2 linked regions of the Lepisosteus oculatus genome follow. The protein of the gene in region 1 binds, or shares a complex with, the protein of each later gene. Links are inferred from orthologs where the notes say so. Each region holds a gene or a part of one and is shown on either strand. Other genes may lie near its edges.

Region 1 (3,752 bases):
CCAGCAGTCCCATGCAGAGAGGCTATATGGACTCTTCCTGAATGATATATACCGTGCATACGTCATTCGTGTTACAAAGCCGTCAGTACTGAAGGTAAAAAGAAAACACGACGAGGATTCCTCCCTTCATTAGCTCCTGCACACCAACAAGAAACTGCCAGTGACATTACACTCAGAAAGAAATGGACTCTTCTCGCCCTGTGGATAGGTTTTGTTGTATTCTACAGAAGGTAGGACACTAAAGGTCCTACAGTTACAGTAAATTGTACTGTTTACTATATATAAGCCCAATGACTTATATAAAAACACTTAATATTATTCTGAAAAATACTTCATAGAAATTCTGACATGCTCATGCAAGTTCAGCCTATTTATGCACATAAGCTCCTCCACTTCTAAGCTCTCAAACTGATTTATCTGATTGTGAGTAACAAAAGGGACTGCTTTCTGCATACTCCGGAAAACGGTACTTCCCCTGCAGAAACAGGCGGTGCGAAAGTCAGAATAAGAGACGCACCCATCCCGACTGAAAACACGAATCCAGGCCTGGACGTTAGGCCCCAGGATGCAGAGACAGCGCAGGGTGGTGAATGTGGACAGCAGGACAGCAAAGGAAAAGGTTTCAAGCGCAGACCTGGAAAAGAGAACACATATCCTAGCAAGGCACACCCTGTCCTTGCAAGAAAATAGGTCTTTATTTCACTTATGCAAAGTGCTATGATTTGTGGGTAAAACACCCTGCTCTTGGTCCAGGAATGTGTGTCAATTCAGTCAGGAATATTACACCCGCTGCTCAGACAATATTTAAGACACTCTAAAAGGGTTTGGATTAGTTTCAAGCTGGGATCCGGTGGGGCACTTCAGACCTCAGCAATTACTTTTCCTAAACAAATCTCAGTCACACCAGCAGGATGCAATGAAACAAGAGAAAGACTTTCAAAAACATCACTGACTATTTGACTCATATGTCCTGATGTGAAACATGAACAGGCAGAGCATTTTAGTAACAGGACAAACTATTCCTAGTGACTTGTTGTTAAGTACTTACTCCAGCAAAGGTGCTCCATACAGGACAACAACTGTGTGGAACAGGAAGCAGGATAATATGAAATACAGGCAGGACCTGAAGGCTTTAGACACCTATGGATAAGACCAAACAGGTTTAATAATTACCCACTATATCTTTATAGTGTTTGCTGGCTCGGTTACCACAAAATGATATATGTGGAGACCAATGCAATTCAATGGACAAGCATACAGAAAACCACTCAAAGCTTCTAGTCCCTATATCAACTATAAGTGCAGAGTATTTTTATTCATATAGTTAATCTCTAGATTCATATATACCAGTTATTCTAGTGTTACTTCCATTTTAAAATTAAACTGCATTAACTGAATTAAAGGTACTTTAAAAAGATAACTGAAAACATTTAAAAGTTGTATTGGGTTGTGCAATACCTGTGAAAGCAGGCTGATTCTGCAAAGAGAAGAAAGTCTCCCTCAGACCTCACCTTGTAACTCAGAGTATTCTTCTTAGATGGTGGACTGATGCCCAGCAGCCAATAGACAGTGATGTTAACAGCAGCCACAGCTCCAGAGACAGAATACAGCCACACAAGGTGTGTGCCATAGACTGAAAACCCATCCACAAACAGAAGGGGCAGTACTGTGGCCATCAGGACAGAAGCTGCCATGATGGTATGGGCAGAAATCATTCCCTTGATCTCAATATCCTTCATGGTGATCCTAGGTGATTCCAGGCTGGAAAACAAGCACGCAATACTACCAACTTCAGGATACTTAAATCAGTTCAGGTCTGGGGAATATCAGGAGTTTAAGACTGCTTGCTAAGGTACAACACTCAATAGTAACATCCAAAAACAGCTGACAAAGGCCTCTGTATAGTGTTGGCTATCTGTACTCAAGAAGACACGTGGTCACCTGATTTCAGTTCCATCTGTGTTCTCAATTTTGTCAGAAATTATTATTTCCTTAAAACTCTAATACAGCTGCGTAAAGAAAACTTCCAGTGCAGAGGACACAAACTCAACTTGGGTTTTCGGAGCTGCGAATTCTTACTGTATACAAGCAATCACCAGGTTCTGTATATTAGCTAAGTGTTTGTACCTTAGTTTATCTAAATCTGCGTAGAAAAGGTAAAAATATTTAAATGTCGTTGGTACAAAAGATCGGACATTTTCAAAATCAATTTTAATGTAAAAAAGAATAAAACTGCTTTACACCACGTCTATATCCGTTGAGGGATTTGTGATCAGCCAAGAGTAGCTGAAGACGGGCGGCCAAGGCAAACCTGACTACAAGTTTCTGTCTCAAACCGTCACAGTGTTCAGAAACTTAACATACACGGGGAACCCTTTTGTAGAGGTCTGGCGTCTCCTACAGGAGCTGCAACTTTTCAAAAGTTATATTTCATCTTTAGCATTCTTCCAAGCCCCGGTAAATCATCAAGTATCAAATCTCTACCGTTCCAATTAAACTTAAAACTGCAAAAAACTATGCACTGCGTAAGAAACTGCAGACATTATGCCTATAAAACTGAATAATCAACAAGAGAAAATAGGATCGTAATTATATTTTAAGAAATGGCTTACCCTCTAGATGGACGGATTGTTGCTATATAATATCATTCAACGTTGGAAAAAAATAATAAACTACTATATACATCAAGCGAATGAAAAAAATCTGAATTATTCTCAAGAACACGTAGCCTCTAAAAGGTGTTTTTCCATTTTTTTAGTCGTGGTGCACAAATGCACGACAATAGCCCACAACAGTATCATTCATACCTGATTTCCGTATGAAATATATTCTGCGCAAGGTCAGTACAGCGTAAACAAGGACGTGGGGGGTGTCACGGCGTGTTTTGCTTGACGTACATTTTGCCCAATCAAACAGTTGCTTCATACCGATTCCCAATCGCCATCCGAGTGGGCGGGGATAAAGTCTAAGGTCACTACCCACAAACCCTGGGAAAATGCAAAATATTACGGCAGACTAGCCGGAAGGAGTAAATTCTTTTTGAGACGCATAAACACCCATATATTTTATGTGTTTACTATAATATGTAGAGTTCAGTAGTTTATTTCTGCCATGTCAGTGGACGTCGTAAAGCCGGTGGTACAGGAATGACGCAAAGAGGGGGTTAATTACAGTCGAGGTGCATTTATTTAGTTTGAAGTATACAGTACGCACTCTTTCTGAACGGAAGGACGAGACGGGAAGTTGTCACACGGCTCTGGCACCGGCAGAGCAGATAGTTTGTTTTCCTTTTCTCCGCTGTAGGTGGATTGATTTTCTTTTTTTCTCGTTTTAAGAGAGGAGAAAGATGGTTTGTGAGAAGTGTAAGTGGTTTCGTGACTTTGTTATAGTTGTCTCTGAATACAGGTCGCACTGATCATCTCTCCGTGATAATCGTAATAATCGCCAACACTGGGACGTTGCTTCGCTGTTTACAATTTGTGCCGCAGTGGAAATGCTAGAAAAAATAGTCACATAACCAGTATATCCATTCATTTTTAATGTGAGGCAATTGCGATTGTATACTATTTTCTTCATTTCTTTTAGTTTCCTTTGTACTAGGCGTTTGTAGGTATTACTGGCAGACGTCCTGTCGTGTGATCTTAAACGAAGAGACGGCGACTCCGCTGTTCATCTCTGGCTGAAACTCTTTGTAATTTGCAGGTGAAAAGAAACTCGGCCGTGTCATCACTCCGGATACATGGAAAGATGGA
Region 2 (3,752 bases), on another chromosome or scaffold:
GATGAGGTTATCTTCCAGGATGGCGCTGGAGGCGAAGTTGTTGCCCACGTCCACGAAGGTGGGCAGGGAGCCGGTGGTGAAGCCCTTGATCCTCTGCATGGTGGTGGTGGGGGGGTCGGCCCTGAAGGGGTACAGCCGGGCGTGAGCCGGCCGCGCGGCCGCCAGCTCGCTCAGCACGCCCAGCTTGTTCTCGCAGGGCCGGGGGGCCGCCCGGCGGGGGTCGTGGCGGGCGAACGCGAAGGAGAGCGCGTCCAGCACGAGGAGCACCGCCCTGCGGAAGCGCGGCGCCCCCTCGCAGAAGCCCCCGCGGGGGGCTCCCGGGGAGAGCGCGTCCGCGCAGGAGCTGCTCCGGCTCACCTCCACCCTCACCAGCAGGAAGCCCCCCAGAAACAGGGCGATGCCCACGCAGAAGAGCGCGCACACCCAGAGCAGGAGAGCCAGCACGGGTGCCCTCCTCATCCTGCGGGAAGAGGGGGGGGATTTTCAGTCTCAGGCGGGTTGGGAGGTCCTGCCTGCGGCTCCGCAAAAAATCATCAAAGATTCACCCTGGGGGAGGGACAGAGAGGTGGGGGGGGGTGGGGTCACGCGTTTTATTTTTGAGTGCTGTCAACAAGGTCTTAGAATATTAACAGTGAATCTTGCAGACTGGAGTATTTCCCAAACGGCAACGCACCTTACTCAGACTGGAGGAGGAGGAGGAGGATAAAGAGCTGGCCCTCGCCTTTGGAGCCCAGGCTGATTCATATTTGCCCACCTACATCTTTCTTTCCGTCAGATTTAAGGCTACCTGCGATTAACGTGGCTTAAATAAACGACGGAAGCCACAAATTAGACAGAACCGAGATTGTTTCAAAGCTTCTATTTGGGAAGTAACTAGATATGACGGATCTCAGATGGCGGTCAACCCACCTTGTCAATCAGCCGATAACCACATCAATAAATAATAAAAATAATAAAAAAACTTTATTTTATATAGCACCTTTAAAGGTGGCTTCTCAAATACACTAATAATTGAGTACCCTCTGGGTGACACATGGCAGCCATTTTGCAGCAGATGCCTCTTCACTGATTTTTTTATGGGGACATCATAGACTGGCCAGACTGATCTGAGAAATTCTGGGTTAAGATCCATGCTCTCACAAACCAGTCTATATAATCACCAGTGGTTAGGTAGTGATTTTACTCACAGAACACCTCCTGTAGCACAGTGTCCTTAGTCACTGGGAAACGCTGGTCCCCAACCCCGTGCTGACCAGACATATCCTTGCTCAGCTTCTGAAATCTGATAAGGTTTGGCTACAAAGACGGTAACTCTGTTTGATCATGTAAAACTCAAATTCTTGTTCTATTTGATCATTCTTTCATACTTCTGCGCGAAACATTTAATGTATTTAAATTGCCACAGTTAAGACTCTGTGCTTCTGATAGCCACAAGAAAAAATGAGCTCTTTTTTAACATCGCAGCTTTATATTAACTGTTTATGTGTTGATGAATGTCAAATGAAGAAATTGCACTCTACAGAATCGGGTACAACAACTGCTTCGTCTGTTAGTACTAAAATATTACTTGTATCTGAAAACGGGGGAAAAAACTGCTTAAACCACCGAGCTACAAAGCTCAACCACGTATTTGTTCACTTACAAGACATAACGCATTCATAAAGAAATAAGCGTGTTTTATTAACTCCTGTTGACCACACAAAATGCTGAACTATTGCACAACAGCATCAACTGGACAGATATAAGAATAATGATCCCAGGTTAAAAAAAATCAAACTACAGTAGATCCAACCCAAAAATACACAACCTATCCTGGGCATACCAAAATCTTTGAAATAGAAAATCTTGCTATTTTCTTTTGCTCTCTTTATCTTTACCTTACCTGTAGCTTTGGAATCTATTCAGCCCACCCGCCTTCAAACTGACCTTGCAGGTATGCCTCCTTCCCAAAACAATCCCTCCTTCGCCCTCGTTCAGGGTCAGTCGTACACCTTCATAAACCCGGCCCCTGTAGAAAAGATAGGGAATCAGGTAACTCTGCCCAGCCTCCCGCCCCACCTCCCTTCATTCACTCAGACACACGGAGAAAGCGTGTACCGGCTAACCCTTCCGATTCAGGAAGTACCACGCAGAAGAACAACAAACGTACCAACTGACGTCACACACGGATGCTGCTTGCTGGGAGCGACAGATATGAACTCTGCCACCTAGTGTCGCGGAAGGGTAATGACAACTTCGGTGTCGGGGGGCACTGTCGATAATTGAAATGGATGCACTTTAAGTGGATAATAATAATAATAATAATAATAATAATAAACTTTATTTTATATAGCGCCTTTAAAGGTGGCTTCTCAAAGCACTTTACAGGATGACAATAACAATAAATAAGAAGACTACAACAATAAATAAGAAAATTTCACAAGACAGGACACAATTATAATTACAACAATACAACAATAACAATAGAGGAGACCGTGGAAGATGGTATTAAGAAGAGCAGAGGGGTGAAGAATGGAAGCAGTTAAGTAAAGGCTTTTCTGAAAAGGAGGGTTTTGAGTCTGGATTTGAAGGAGTTTAGAGAAGGTTTCGCCGATTTCGAAACACTAGCGATTACAAATTACGATTTGACTGGGAAATAAATACGTTTCTAGCAGCCATATCACCCTGCAACTCACAACTGGCAGCCCACTGAAGCAAAACAGGTGGGAGCCTGGACAGTACCTGGATGGGAGACCTCCTGGGAGAAACTAAGGTTGCTGCTGGGAAGTGGTGTTAGTGCAGCTAGCAGGGGGCGCTCACCCTGCGGTCTATGTGGGTCCTAATGCCCCAGTGATGGGGACACTATACAGTTAAAAGGTGCCGACCACTCTCTGTGGTCATTAAAAATCCCAGGGCATTTCTCAAAAAGAGTAGGAGTGTAACTCTGGTGTCCTAGCCAAATTTCCCATAGGCCTTTACCAATCATGGCCTCCTAATAATTCCCATCTATGAATTGGCTTCATCACCCGGTTCTCCTCCCCACTGATAGCTGATGTGTGGTGAGTGTTCTGGCGCACTATGGCTGCCGTTGCATCATCCAAGTGGGGGTTACAAATTGTTGGTGGTGGAGGGGATCCCCATTACCTGTAAAGCACTTTGAGCGGAGTGTCCAGAAAAGCAATATATAAGTGTAAGCAATTATTATTATTAACAGTATTCACTGCATAAATACCAAGACATCATGTTTCGCTGTCGTTGGCTAAGTGGCATTCAGTTGAAAAAGGATATTTAATACAAATTTTGTATTAAATAAATCAAATATGATACAATAGTATGGAGTGTTCGATAGAACGTTTGTTTTAGCGAGCACATTTATTATAATTCTTCCTTGGAATTACTATAAGGCAAGGATATCAAACAAAATTAATGGAGAACCTTTTATCTCCTAGTTTTTATGCCTTTCAGAGGATTTTAATTAATACATTTATCTAGGTTCCACGAGAGTTGCGTCTGTATGCATCCTTCCCTGTCTTCTCTTAATCATGAATTCAATCTCTACCTATCCATTAATAACCTAATTATGCCTCTTAAGGTCTTGTGCAGCTAACAAAGCTGCACAGCTTCATTTGTATCAGAAATATACCACAAACTGTTTCACCTTAATTTATTTTTAATAATAAAAAATGTTGAGACATTACATAATATATAAGCTTCAGAAACAACACCAGCACAATGCCCTTTGTTTGGTCTCTTGGAGGCACTGCTCACCATGG

What was found. The genes of interacting proteins can lie anywhere in the genome.
Region 2: pigf (region 1) and pigo share a complex: the UniProt entries of both Homo sapiens proteins name them as parts of the ethanolamine phosphate transferase 3 complex. The link is inferred for Lepisosteus oculatus from reciprocal best matches to the Homo sapiens genes PIGF and PIGO.

Annotation. Positions count from the first base shown.
Region 1 is NC_090712.1:13,356,041-13,359,792, reverse strand, and holds the start of pigf (phosphatidylinositol-glycan biosynthesis class F protein), read right to left. Parts: upstream 2,890-3,752; 5' UTR 2,808-2,889; intron 2,802-2,807; exon of another isoform or gene 2,613-2,801; intron 1,762-2,612; 5' UTR 1,740-1,761; coding exon 1,512-1,739; intron 1,141-1,511; coding exon 1,049-1,140; intron 635-1,048; coding exon 518-634; intron 1-517. Other genes in the region: cript (cysteine-rich PDZ-binding protein), read left to right, coding at 3,347-3,362, 3,703-3,752.
Region 2 is NC_090698.1:67,287,272-67,291,023, forward strand, and holds the start of pigo (GPI ethanolamine phosphate transferase 3), read right to left. Parts: upstream 2,124-3,752; 5' UTR 1,883-2,123; intron 461-1,882; 5' UTR 460-460; coding exon 1-459.